Lepisosteus oculatus: one gene and its partner. The protein of the gene in region 2 binds, or shares a complex with, the protein of the main gene of each other region. Links are inferred from orthologs where the notes say so. Each region holds a gene or a part of one and is shown on either strand. Other genes may lie near its edges.

The links. The genes of interacting proteins can lie anywhere in the genome.
Region 1: ccdc135 (region 2) and tcte1 share a complex: the UniProt entries of both Homo sapiens proteins name them as parts of the nexin-dynein regulatory complex. The link is inferred for Lepisosteus oculatus from reciprocal best matches to the Homo sapiens genes DRC7 and DRC5.

The regions. Positions count from the first base shown.
Region 1 is NC_090697.1:43,242,804-43,249,781, reverse strand, and holds the start of tcte1 (dynein regulatory complex subunit 5), read right to left. Parts: upstream 3,001-6,978; 5' UTR 2,954-3,000; intron 1,967-2,953; 5' UTR 1,931-1,966; coding exon 1,726-1,930; intron 1-1,725. UniProt on the Homo sapiens protein: Component of the nexin-dynein regulatory complex (N-DRC) a key regulator of ciliary/flagellar motility which maintains the alignment and integrity of the distal axoneme and regulates microtubule sliding in motile axonemes.
Region 2 is NC_090715.1:11,489,690-11,497,281, forward strand, and holds the start of ccdc135 (dynein regulatory complex subunit 7), read left to right. Parts: upstream 1-4,577; 5' UTR 4,578-4,635; exon of another isoform or gene 4,636-4,653; intron 4,654-5,460; 5' UTR 5,461-5,471; coding exon 5,472-5,617; intron 5,618-6,199; coding exon 6,200-6,374; intron 6,375-6,891; coding exon 6,892-7,017; intron 7,018-7,210; coding exon 7,211-7,405; intron 7,406-7,592. Other genes in the region: lcat (phosphatidylcholine-sterol acyltransferase), read right to left, coding at 1-141, 1,061-1,217. UniProt on the Homo sapiens protein: Component of the nexin-dynein regulatory complex (N-DRC) a key regulator of ciliary/flagellar motility which maintains the alignment and integrity of the distal axoneme and regulates microtubule sliding in motile axonemes.

The DNA.
Region 1 (6,978 bases), on a different chromosome or scaffold from region 2:
AGCATTGAATACATTCATACATTGATAGTAATTAAAAAATAAAATTCAGATATTTCTTATACTAATAGTTATTAATTCTATATATTGTTTAATTAATTACAAACAGTAATGAAATACAAAGTTCCATCCTTAAACAAATACCATCCATTAATACAGATTTATTTTAAAGAGATAAAGAAAGGGCAGATCTCTGGAATGTCTGAGGTATTTGCCTATAGACCAATATGTTAAATTCTGAAAAAATATACTCTGTTTAATGTAATATGTTGTTTTATTTCCTTAATATTCAATTTAATGTGTTTTGTGTGATTTAAGAGTTGATTTTTTGCAGCTGGGAAGGTAACGATGTAGTCATAGTATTGCTTCACAGTACTTTAAAGGAAATATACATAATAGAAACTACTCCTTCAAATAAATAACAAGTGTCCATGAGAGAATGGAGGTAATTTGTATCCCCACAGTGTCAGTGTTGGATCAAGAGCACTACAGGGTTTTCATACTGGAACTTAATAAATTTTAGTATTCCTAACACGCACTGTGTCTTGTATTTAAAATGTCTTTTCTGTGGTTAATCAGACAGTTTCATCACTGACTTTCATTAAGCCTCACTCAAGAGCATGCTTCAGAGCAGAACAGACTTTACACTTAATCTTGATTGAAGAAATGGCGTCAAGTTCTAACTGAAATGAAATTACTTTGGGGCTCACCAGTTCAATATTATGTGTCATGAATTGTGACATACAGAAACCTGCTAAAAGGTCTTATGAAATGGTATGATTCACTGGGGGCACAAACACATCATGATCTTCATTCTCAATGTATATTTTATCATGTTAAATCATGCAGAAAAAAGATGTACGAAATTTTATTTTGGTGTTCAAAACTAAAAGTGAATGGTTTCTGACATATTTAAAAACTCATTACTGCCACACCTATACATTTTGGTAGTAATTGATCATTAAAGGTTTTTGAGAGCTTTAACATTTTACAACTGGTTAAATTTAGATTAAGTGCTTCTATTTTTTTCTTTCTGTTTTAGTCATACAATCTATAAAAGCAATGACATGTAATTTGAATTTATCCTTCTCAATTAGGGAGTAAAATGAGAATCAGACCAGAAGTCATCTGGGGAATACAAGATTTGTTTAGAAAACAGGAGTAAAGCTAGTCAGGACTTTATCATACTGTAGCTCTAGAATACAATGTGCCCCGAAGACTCCACATTCTAACACGTCTTTGCACTTTGATTTTGCTGTTAACAAACAAGTGGTTAACACATGTGTTAACACATGTAAAGCATGCATTTAAAATCTAAAGGAACAAGTAATAGGTTTATTCCATGCTGAGAAAAAGAAGAAAGAAAACACAACATTTCGGCCGTGGAGCCTTCTTCAGGTGTCCAAGCCTTCTTCCACATGGAATAAACCTATTACTTGTTCCTTTGCAGCCTACGCATGCTGACGCAGCTACTCACCTGAACTACTTCAAAATCTAAAACCTTTTTCCTTTTTCCATCCTTTTTCTTTGGATTTCCAGTCTCTAAATATATTCTTAAAAAACTGTTTCTGAAGTCTGAATATTGCCATTGTTTAATAAGACTTTAAAAAACCTGATATGTTAATTCCAGAAGGCTCTTGGCTTCACATGCTTTCACTTGAAAGCCACACTCACATACATGCTCTACAATATCATCATAAAAATGTGATAAAGGCAAAAAGAACCTACTATGGAAGTTTTTAACGATATGTTGTAGGCACAGGTTTTTAAGAAGGGGAACTACAGCTAGAGACCATTCTGGGTCCTCCGCAATGATCCTTCTCATTTTCCGTGGGTCAGCAACAGGATTGAGTTTGGCCACTGGCGGATAAATGCGTGGCTTTGTGCCAGGACTGGCTGCTGCCTTGCTTTGGATGTCCATGATATCCGGCATCTTCCTGTATGCCCTAGATGTTTACAATCCTGTCTTCTGAAAAGAAAGAGGAGACAAACGAAAGCGATACACTCATTTTTCCATAATACCATCTCTGCATCAAAACTCCAAACAGCATAAAAACAACTCTTTACAGGCTTACTGGCTAAAAGCTAAGTAAAGTACCAAGAACATTTTTCTAAGTAAATCCTGAAGGATCCTAACTGATCAATTCCACTATACTGTTTGATTGATTTTAAGCATAAATCAAATCCCTGTAGGAAAAGGACAGCCTCATGTTAATTGCAAACCTGCGTTAATTACGTTTTCACTCTCCATTTGAAATATCTATGAGGATCAACACAGTTTATGCCCTTCAAGACAATAGTGTTGTTTATGTTGTTAAAAGCTCCCTTCAGCTGCCATCTTCAAAAGATGAAAACAGCAGGCTGAATTAACAATGGAGTAGAATGGCAGACCAGCAAGTTGAGTTGATGATGACACAGTTGAATCTTATTGATCACCTAAACAAACAGTCTTGAGTAGTCAAAAAGGCAACATTCTGTCCCATCTTTAAGTGGTGTTTTTATTCTGTTTTTTATTGACTGCATTAGAAACAATTATATGTCAGACTAATAATCCAAAATCCAAATCCACTATAGATAAACACCTTAAATTATACATTATAAGAACACTGGGGCAAAACTATTCCTCCATGCCTTTATCCTATTTCTCCATAACTTTCAGCAATTCTACATTATTATTGTTATTTTTGTATTTTCCCAGTGACCCTCAGGAAGAGCACAAAACTTAGCACACTATAGTGTCTAAAACACAGCCCCTTAACATTGTGTCTATAATATAATTCGATGGTGTCGGTTTACACGAGATGAAATGTCTCCTAAGTATGTAAATATGACATTTTACAATGGAAAAAACATATTGCAAAAACATGTTTGCAATACCCATAACACAAATAAGAAGGAAACTTGTTCTATGCACCCTGACACAAATTACATTATTTAGATATCCCTCCAAACATACCTTACTGGTACTTCTTCTGTCTTGTTTATTTACTGTATCCATGGTAACGCTTGACCCTTGGTAACCCGGAACCAGTTAGTGATTGGCTACAACACCGACGCACTGTCATACAAACCGAAAGTTGTGGTTTCTAACCTTTAGTTCAGCCTGCTCCCATTATTAAAAAAAAATTGAAGTAGGGTAGTTATCACATAACTATAGAATGAAATACATATTATTTTAAATTATAATTTAGTTAGACATGTTTACATTATCCAGTTTATTTTTACTGTCAAGTAAGAATACATGAAAATGTAATACTTTATATATTTATGAACTTGAAAGATATGTTAATTGTGCTAACATGCCTGTGCTTCATTTTTTAGATTTGCCTTCTGAAAGCTGGCTTGTCTCGAACCCTCAGAGCGTGTACCACTGTAACATCGTTTAGTGCACTCTAATAAAATCATAATACAACTGAAATGTTTTAAAATGGTTTATGATATATAAAGTGTAGTGTTTTGAAGTAAAAAAAAATATTAAAATGTGACATACTGCATTCACATCGACATAGCGTTTAAACGGTTACTAATAACTTTACTACGCATATATAAAGTAGTAGAAATAAATTACATAAAAAACTAAATATATTTATAAATATATTTATTTAGCTAAATATCCTAAAGTCAGATTATTTCACATTCTAAAAAGTTTTTGTTTTGTTGTAGCATTACTTTTTGCTTTACAAATGCAAATTTATGGTCCAACAACACAAAGATTTCATAACTTTTTTAATGATCATAAAAACAATAAAATGCATAATACTTTTAAAATATTTCATTAAACCCATGGCCAAAGAGAAACTAGAAATAAGCTTTGATCAAATTCTACATTCTATTTTCCGTAGGTTATTTCCACAACGGCTCATTAGTGGCCAGAGATAAAGCTTTTTTCCGCGACATTAAACAACCAGGAAAGACTTCCTCGCCTTCTGGAGGGGAACGCCAGTCCCCTGCAGAGCAATGGAAGTTTCCATTCGCACAGCTGGAAAGACTGGAGCAAACGGGGTAACGCACAAGCTCAAGGTACAGCACCAATGTTTATCGCAGGAACATTTCCACTAGGCAACCCTTATATACAGTACATATACAGTATTATTATTTAATTTACTCAAATAAAGAAATAAACTGCAACATCGTTTAGTGCTCTCTGATAAAATCATAATATAATTGAAATGTTTTAGAATGGTGTATGATATTTACATAGTGTTTTAAAGTAAAAAAAAATCAAAATGTAAAAATGTGACAGTTTAATTATTTTAGACTTGTGCTTGGTAGGTGGGAAAGATTAATACATTTTTTTTATGACATGTCTATGCATACAATAATGTTTTCTGTTTTCAAAAGGTGACCATAATGCTGTAATGTACTTTACTGAAAAGTGCTTCATGGGTTTTTAAAACGTTGTGCAATGCAGTGCTTCCACTTCACAGCTCCAGAGATTTTCAGACATGTTTTTTGTATTTTAGTTAAGGGGAAAAACAAGATTATAAATAGAAAAGAGAATTTGGGGGGAATAATCATAACAAGGAAATTGGAAAACAATTAACAGGAAAGATACCACCTTAAAAGAATAGATTTTTTTTAGATCTTTGAATATGTAGACATAAGTACTACATGACAGCTGTCTGTATATTTTTAGACACATTTATTAACTTCATCATTAAATTGTAGCATTTACTGACAAACATTTAGTTGTTATTAAGTAAACAGTTTCAGTAATGTTTTACAGACTAATCTACATTGATCCCTTGTTCAGCATTGTGCACAATTTCCATGGCAGATCATACGGTCTGTTAAGACAGTCACCCCTGGGTAACACGTAATGACTTGTGCCTCCTGTTCCTTAAGTAAGGCAGGGATTAATTAACAATGTCAGACTCCTGACTCCAAGCTGTGTGTGGAGGTTCAATTCTACTGCGTGCTGAAGAAAGTTTTATTTAATTTCTAGAACTAGAAGTGCTGGGTATTGAAATGTATCTTCATTTAATTGATTTTTAATGATTAATATATGATCTTGTCTTTGTACAGCACTTTGGACATTTCTGTCAGCAGAGAATTATTTCATATTTATAATTTTTTTCAGCGCTCTCTCCTTTATTTGTCTTCACACTCACAGGGAAGAGAGCAGCTGTCTATTCTATGTGCTGAGAATGCTTGACAGTGTCTTGGAGACATCTGACTCCTCAGCTCCAGACAGACATAGACTGAACACTGGTCTCTGAGCTGTACATTGTTCTGCACTGCAGGGGAAGGGATGTTCACAGAATCAACAAATAACATGACATAATCACAAATTCACACTTGTCTGTCTTTTGAGTTAACTTAATAAACTGTAATACTTTTGCTATAAGTTATTTTAATTGATATTTGTACTATAGCAAACACGGTATAGTACTGAAAGATCGATTTATCAGCGATGAGTGGCTTACGAGGTTTAATTGAAATGGAAAAATGTCTTTCATTTCTACATCTCTTACGTTTTTTATTTTCTGTGCGAATGTTAATTTATGATGCAGATCTTGTTTCTCCTCAAAGTTGAGACAGGAGTGAAATTGAATTGAGGGGTTTTGGTACACAATTAGGTTGTTTTTGTTTTTTAAAATCCAAATGAAAAGACAACTTTGTTTCTCAATCACAATTTTTCAATAACAAAGATGAGGAGATCTTAGATATATGAAGCCAACCAAGGGGAAATGTATGACGCCACAGTGTGAAATTGGAAGAAACTCTAATGTACAGTGGTGGCAGGCATCTCATCTTTTATTCCACCACTACTGAAGTATACACCAGAACATAAAAAAGTTAACCAGCTTGGAACACCACTCCGTCTCATAGACTTAAGGATCCAGCTTCTTTCTCCAAATCTTTTTTTTTCCACAAATGCACATATGAGATTTGATTCTCCTGAAGATCATACAACATTATCTTCCTGATAACTAGAACGTGATAAAACTGCACCGTCTACTGATAGCTATGCATGCCCACACTGCTAAATTTGGGTCTTGTGACAGGTGGTTGAGCTGCTGGCTGGTCGATTAAGTAAGTATTCCTGCAGTGAGACTCCTCATTTGCTTTGTTGCTGGCTAGGAGCACAGAGAATTTCATCCCACCGCGGCAGGAAACATACTGATTCCAAAATCACCCTCCCTCTGGTTGCCAGGGTAAAGTGTTAGACAGCACACAAAGGTGGATGGTATAACTCTCCCCAAGGGACACTGACGAATGGAAACAATGGCTCAACTCCATTTTCTCAAGTCATCGTGATTCTCAGATCCTTATTTCAGGTCTCTGTCTATTTGCCCACACCATAAAATAGTTGTATGTTTTAAAGTTATTGTGTTAAACAGGAAATAATTGACTGATATGAACGTACAGTGCCTTGCAAAGGTTTGAACAGTTTGAGCATTTAGGTTTTGATTAAAAACAGCCGTCCATCTTCTAACCACATCATCCAATTCAGGGTTGTAGGGGAGCCAAGGGCACAAGGCACGGTACACCCTTCACAGGATTCCAGTCCAGGACAGGCCCACGCACAGTCTGAGACACAGACTCACACTAGGGCCAGTTGTTTTACAGAGGCCAATTAAACTACCAGTATGCCTTTGAGCTGTGGGAGAAAACTGGAGCACACTAAAGAAGCACAGGGAGAGCATGCAGACTCCTTTCTTATAGCACCCCAGGTCCAGAATTGAACCCAGCCAGCGCTGCGAGGCAACAATGCTACCCAGTGCGCCACCAGTTTCAGTTGAAAAATGTGTTTTTGTCACAGGGCCCATGCACTGACCAGTTACAGAAGTGATTTCAACCCCCTCTGAAAGCTAAGTGTATAACTCTTTCTGTTTTTTGAGGAATAATCTGCTGTCTAGGGAGTGGCGCTGTACGTTTTCAGCTCCCATGAATGACGGGATTGAATCTCAGAAGGATCAGGGAGCCCTGTAAGCATTGCATATTCACCATTTGTAATTAACAAAATGGGACATCACT
Region 2 (7,592 bases):
AGCAGTCGATGCCAATGGGCATAAACATGTTGAGATCGATCCAGATGGTGAAGAAGTTCTCCGTCTTCCTGTAGCACAGCCAGTGCACCAGGCTGGGCTTGTCAATCCTGGCTTCCAGCCGGTTTCCCAGGTTTCCTGGCACTGTGCAGTGGTAAGAGGTCACAGGTCAGAATGCTTTACATGCCTCCTTTCAATTTATTCCCCTATTTTTGGAGTGAGTTACTGTAAATGATTCATCGTGATTCTCGTTCCCAGTTTTTCCCTTGTGTCTAACTTTAAAAAAGAATGCAAGGACAGAGGGTGATCACAACTAAAGGAGGTTAACTCCCATCTTATTTGTTGGACTTAAAGTAGAACTGTGTGACTGAGTCTTATCCAGATGTATCCTAGGGAGCCAGTTAGGAGGGACAGGTGGTAAATCTCTGAGCAAAAAAGTATCTTCTACTTTCAGTCTAAATAGGTCCATCATCTACTCTGAACTTCCTTACACAGATTTGTCCAAAAGTGCAACAGTATAGTACAGCATGCTGTATGAGACACCCCTGGCAAGCTGTGCTCACAGCTTATCAGTGCAAATGAAACCTGAACAGTCAAGTGTTAAAAATGCAGGCCGAAACCGGGGTCATGTCCAACTGATAGTATCTCCACTCTGAGAAAAGCTTTGACTACAGGTCTGTATAATAATAGTATCTTCAGAGGCTATTTTAGAAGCTGTTGTATAGTGCAGGATATTTGTTGTGGTGAATGATAAATGAAGTAGAAACAACCAATTCTCAGTCTGAGTTCACTATTCATAGAACACCCACTGGAATCGCAAAGATGCATACGATATTCCCTACTTTTCACAAAACACATGTTCCCAAAACAAAAACCTATTTCTGAAACCTAACAGCAGGCCTTTGTGTCATTATTTAACGCTCCTGACTGCATTAACAAACCAGCTGAAAGAGCACGGCTTTCGGTAGGTTTGAATGCATACTTTCGAAAAATGCTCCTGGAATACAAAAAGGCCGCCACTCCTCCGGAGACCCGGAACCCGACTGCCCTCCCTGACACTCACCTAGGATGAGAGGCGGGGTGCTGTTCGTCTGGGACTCTCTGGGCTCGACGCTGGGAGGAAAGATGACATTGAAGAGCCAGAATCCGGGCGAAGGCCGGGGGAAGACACCCAGAACCAGCAGCAGAAGCAGAGGCGACACAGAGGTGCGGCGGCCCATGATTCTCTCTCTCGCTGCTGCGCTGATGAGCCTCTGCAGCTGTCTTATCAGGGCCAATGGAGAAAAAGGCTGCGAGGGCAGAGTCTCTGGCAGAAGCTCTCCCACGCTGGAAGCCCAGTGTACGCACTCAGCACCCTGTAGGCCAGTGGAATGCTCCAGTCAGATCTCACCACCACCTGAATACTGATGAGACTCCGGCTTTAGACATCGTTGACAAATCACAAGCTTTTTATCTGAGCTCTGGCTAGAGTAAACAATTTCTATGCAATGTTTTACACCGAGGGGCAAGCCTAGCCTTTCAGAGGAGGACAGTGGGCCAAAAAGGAATCACTCTGTGCTAGAAATCTTCTGCCTGGGATGGGCAAGTCCAGACTTTAAGGGTTACAGATGCTTCTCGCAATAATTTGACCTCATCTCTCAATTACTCCTCTCAGCTTTTTTATTTGGTTAAAAAATAAAAAAGTATTTTATTTATTTCAAATAAAACAGGTATTTTATTAGGTATTTTTGGTATTAAATACTTATTTTATACAAGCTGTTATTTTGCTCCATTCTGACATTATTCAATTAACTCTGAATGTTGTTTTAATGCAGTCACTCAGAACAATGCTATCTTGTCTCAAGTTGAAGAAATGCGCTCCAGGTTTACTGGTGAATTACTGGAATATTGAATTGAATATATATGTAACTGCTAATTGTGTGGCCCGGTGGACTTGAATGTGGTAAAGAGCTTGTTGAGTCATTACAATGTGAGTTCAACCTCTTGATCAGAGTGGCCTCCGCTACAGTGTTATAGTCCCTTTCAATCCTGGGGGAGCCAGGGATCCCATTGCCACCATGAGTGGCAGGTTAGGAGGAGCAACAGTGCACTTACCCCAGCAAGACTCAGTTTGAAGGAAGAAGCAGTGTGTGTATTTGGACCCTGTACTTGAACTGTCATCACTTGAGCCTCAATTGCACAGTCCAGACCAGACAAGTGACATAACTCTTACAGTAAGAGACCTATTACACACGGCACCACTGAAGTCCAGCGTCCTGTACGAGAGCCGGGTATCTATGGCTGCACCGCAGGACCAATTGTGTCAACATTGCAGTTCTATTATTGTCTGCAAATTGATGCAATAAGGTGCAAATCCTGAGCCTATGATGAAAATGTTGTTGACTGAAGTGCCAGACAGTGTGAGGACTGTGTCAGAGTTTAGTCATTTGCCTTGAAATCAAATCAAGACTGGCTGATATGTCATCAGCGGCCTTGTTTTGTTACCATTGTTTGTGAAAGGATAGGATATCAAATCCAATCCTCTGCATCTGCTTAAAGATCCCAGCCACTGTTCCTCTGTCGGGTAAGTTACTCAGGCATGAGCAAGCATTGTTTGCAACCAGATACGCTTCTGGAATAGAAAGCTACTGTCTGTTTTGATTTAGCTTGCACTTACAAGTTGTGTCCTATACTGAATCAGAGAAGTTCTTCTACAGGGGAAGTTCCCTAAGAATATGTTTCTTTTCTGTCTGATGGATTGGTGAACAGAAACATTATCTAATTCACCTATGAACTATTGATCCCCTAACCAGCTAAACAGTTGATGTGTACTATATGAACATTGTGAAACATTAACAGCAGTCACACAGAGATTGCAAGTGCAGACCTGTTTTGTAATACAGATGGAAAAAGGTAGAAAGTTCAAATTTCCCCAAAATACAGGCAGCTGCATACTTTCAAACTGTTATCCATTTCAATTCATTGGATTATTCCCTATCTGTAGAAGACAACTTTTTATTTTCATGCAGAACAATAGGTTACTTTAGTAAATATTTGGAAATCTGATGTCTTCGTACCAAATATTTCACTATCTTTATTTGCTGGCAGACACTCGGCACCCAGGGTAATTTGCAATGTAGTTATCCAATGATTACATAGTGTGGAACATTGCAGACTCTGGTAACATTGGTCAAACAACCTTTGCACATAGAACTCTCCAACACTGATGGGACATGAGTGGTCTATGTGGTGATCCTGACTTTGAGAGTTTTAACAAAGTTACAACCGCTAACTGCTTTATCGAGTCCAGGGTGGTGGGGGAGACGGAGCCAATCCCAGCAAGCAACTGGCCCACAGCGTGATACACCCTGGATGAGAGAGACCAGTCCATCACAGAAAAGCACTCCTGTTTAAACCCCACTTCTAGTGAACCATGAATCCCATGTGAGATTGTCTGCGTTCCAGGACAATGATCAAAACTATCAGTTCATATACTGTAGGTGAGACCAGTCCTTTGAAGCAATTCTGGCGACCTCTAGTTGTATGACTGTGTCACTACAGACTTTTCAATGGACAACCTTCGTAAGTGAACTACTCCAGGAGAGTATTTCCCCATTGATTTTATAAGTATGCACATGTGTAGTTGTCCAATCCTCCCGCCTGTTCCTGGGCTCAGTTTTCCTCTGAAGGCGTAAATGTGATACAAAGTGGGTGACTGTTTAATATTCAAGAGAAATCCATCCATCCATTTTCTAACCACTTCAGCCCATACAGGGTCAGAAGGGAGCCGGAGACTATCTCAGCAAACAACAGGCATGAGGCAGGATACACCCTGGACAGGACACCAGTCTATCGCAGGGCACACACGGATACAACCACGCACACAAACACTCTCACCAGGGCCAAATCTTCCCTGAAACCAATTCACCTACCAGCATGTCTTTGGACTGAAGGGGGAAATCAGAGCACCTGGAATTGACCCACACAATCGTAGGGGAGCACAGACTCCACACAGAGAGCACCCCGGGTCCAGAATGGAACCCAGGGCCACAGCAATACGATCCACTGCGCCGACGTGACAACCGAGGGAGCTACATTTGAAACGTATATGGTCTGGTCTGGTCTAGTCTAGTCTGGTTTTTATTTCTGGTGAGAATCTGGTTTCCGGAATCCGCACTCAACAGATCAATGTTTTTAGCATTTAGATTGTTTTCATGAGTTCCCCCCCAAGCAATTGCTGTTTCCAAAAGGTGGGGGTTAATTAATTAATAGAAGATTTCTAGAACTTGAGATCATCAAGTCTTAGAATACTTTCTGCTTTTTAAGGGTCGGGGCTCGGTCAGGTATTTAAGAGCGTAGCCTGTACATGAAGATACAGAAGATAAAAGGAAGATGTGGCCTTATTTTTTTTGTTGTTATTTGGTAATTGTTTTTCACGTGCAAAATCGAAAATGAAACCGTAGGAGTCCTTTAAGATCTATATCTTCAAGTAGCACTAGTCAGATGTAGAAAATGTCCGCGCTTTTCAATAGTTCAAACCAGGAGAAACCCGCAGCTCGTCTCCTCACGCTGCTTACGCAAGGGGCGGGGCCACGGAACAGCGTGATCCAGCGCTGCCGTGGCCATGGAGACGGTCGTAAACGGGACGGTCGTTCAGAGGTACTGTGATGGGGAATGGTGCGATTAATCTTTTATTTCAATATCTACATGTTTAAAAATGAAACAAGGGGTAAAAAACAATCAGTGACAGTAGAATGTACCTGTTGATTATGCGGCTGAGTAAATAAACAATGTGATTTATGAAAACAGGGGTTAGAAGTTTCAGAAACTGTTTATAAACTATAGTTAAACTATCGTATACTAAACCGTAAATAAATTATGAAACCGGATAAACTATTTAGTTTTGTATACTGAACGGAAAATGGTCGAGCTTCCTTAAATATTTAGCAGCTGCAGTAAGGATATATTTACACTGTTCTGTGGCACGACGTAAACTTGTAATTGTTAAATGTATTTAACATAAAATGTCAAGGTGTACTGTGTTACACTGTTTTCTCTTGGTAATTACAGTAGATAATTTAATTCTGTGCCTTCTGTTTCAATAAGCACAAGGCACACAATAAGCACAAGGAATCCTCCTTAACAGGAGGAATCTGATGCCTCCTACTGTATATATTTATAGATATATTTAGGGTAATTCAAATAAAGAATGGATAGAACAATTATATGATTATATGATTATAAAGAATAGTAAAACAAAAATATGATGTAATTGATATTGATAGACATTTTGTTGCCAGCAACTACTGCTATAATATAATAATAATAATAATAATAATAATAATAATAATAATAATAACTGCACGCTGTATTATTGTGCATTTGATAAATAAACTCTGATTGATTGATAGTTCTGTCCCTTTGAAGACAGGGTGAGAGGTGATCCTGTGGAGTTCAGGTTGTCCTCCTCTTTCTCATTTTCAGTCCTGTAAGAAATGGAGACGCTGCCAGAGGAGCAGTTGTCTGAGGCTGGAGAGTGGAAGGGGGAGGAGGAGGCAGGGGATGAAGATCTGAATACAGAGCTGCAGGATCTGGAGGAGACACTGTCCAAAATACACATCACTACCCCTGCCAGCCCGCAGTGAGTACAAACCTCATGTCAACATTACTGTACTTACTTTATTGTCCCAAATGGGAAATTTGCTTTGCAAGCAGGTAACTGACATAACACAGTACGCAATACATTTAACACAACATGGACCCATTCACAAATAAGACATACATGTACCATAAGAAAATAAATATGTATCTAAAAGTAAAATGTACAGTTAATTATCCAAATTGAGCAGGTTAACAGCTGTGGGAGTAAAACAATGACATTGTTCTATTGCTTTTGAATCTGGGTAATCTGGGTCTTGAATCAATGATTGTATCATTGTCATTGCTTGATGTAGAAGTCTGGAAGCTGTAGTTCTAGTTGCCCACAATGAGTAGATATGTCCTTTAGCCCACAGTAAGTACAGCTTTTCATGATGTTTAGTTTTTTCTAGTGGATGCTAGACAGAAGTCTTCTTGAACTTCAAAGATTTCTTCCTGAACTTCAGTGGGCTCCTATGTCTTGTGTTTCACACTGATTGAGCCTTTGACATTCAATATATGGGTGTGCAGTGTGTGCACACAATAATGACTATAATAATAATGACTGACTTGTCCATCTTTTCAGACCAGTGACTAAGTCGTCCATAGATCTCTCTGAATTCCCCTCCTCGTACAAGGAGAACTCCTCCCAGGAGAAGCTGCTGCTGGCCATTGCTGATAATTTCCGCTCTCAATATGCTCACCTGTATCCTGACCGCAAACCTCTGTTCCTGAATCCCCTCAATGAGTGTGGGGTTGAGGTACGTGTGCTAGGCAGGACTTTTGGGTCAGGAAATGGATGAGGTAGAGGAGGTGACTCTTGTACAGAACTTGCAATTGCATGAAAACTGTATTGCTCTTCTACATCTCGTATGGCACAGATATTGATTATGTCCTGCCAGGAGCCTAATTTTGCTCAGTAGCTGCTTAGCCTCAACCAAATCTTCTCACTGTCAGGGTGCAGAACAGCCACAGGTTTGGTGCATCTTTGGGATGGTCAGTAAAAAAACCTGAATGCTACTAAATTACATTAAAACTACAGAACTGTTTGATAGCCTGAGTACAACAGTGAGCAGCAGTTCCCCTCATTGCCACTGGTGCTGAGCACTTGTATAAGCTTTGGATTGTAAGGTTGTCTTCTTGTACTGGGCACTGAGCTTCTTTATTTGTGTAGGATATCAAGGTTGCCTTTTTAAAGAAATGGTGAGTCTTACAAGAGGTTACAAATGAGTGAAGTCTATTCTCTTACTCACTTTTTGTCTCTTGTTCCCTGCACAGAAGTTTGTGAGCACCACGCTGCGCCCAACACTGCTGTCCTACCCTGAACTGTACAGCTGGGGTGGCTGTGCGTGTTTTGTATCTGAGTATCTCTCTGTCGAGCCTCTGGATCCCCCTGTAGATCTGGTAAGTCAAGGCAACAGCACCGAAAAATACAACTAGAATCCGTAGTGGGAGAAAATAGGTCATCTGACCACTATAGCATGGCTGGCTATGTTAATTGTTTTTTATAAATTGTGCCTGTGACGGACTGCATTTGGAATTTGAATGTTTAATCTCGGGTATGACTGCCTACTCTACCAATCTTAATCCTCCTCAGCCCCAGTGCCTTCGTTCTCCTACCTGGGTGCTGAAGTGCCAGCGTGGGACCTGCTTCGAGTTCGCAAACCTGCTATGCTCCCTGCTGCTTGGGGCGGGCTATGATGCATACTGCGTCAGCGGCTACGCAGCGAAGGAGCTCTGTCTGCTGGACCAGACACACCAGCAGTGCCCCCTGCTGGTGAACCAGGAGAAGGTGAGCATTTAGGCAATGGAAAAAAACAGACTTCCCTGCACCTGCTGTGTGTTGGAACTGACTCCTTTTTACAATAATGCAGGCAAATGGGGGTGAGATCATGGATCTATTTAAAAGACTGAAGTCTGCTCTTTGAGAGTAACAAAGAATCAAAGGAAAAGTCTTAGGGAACCTAAGTGGCACCTAA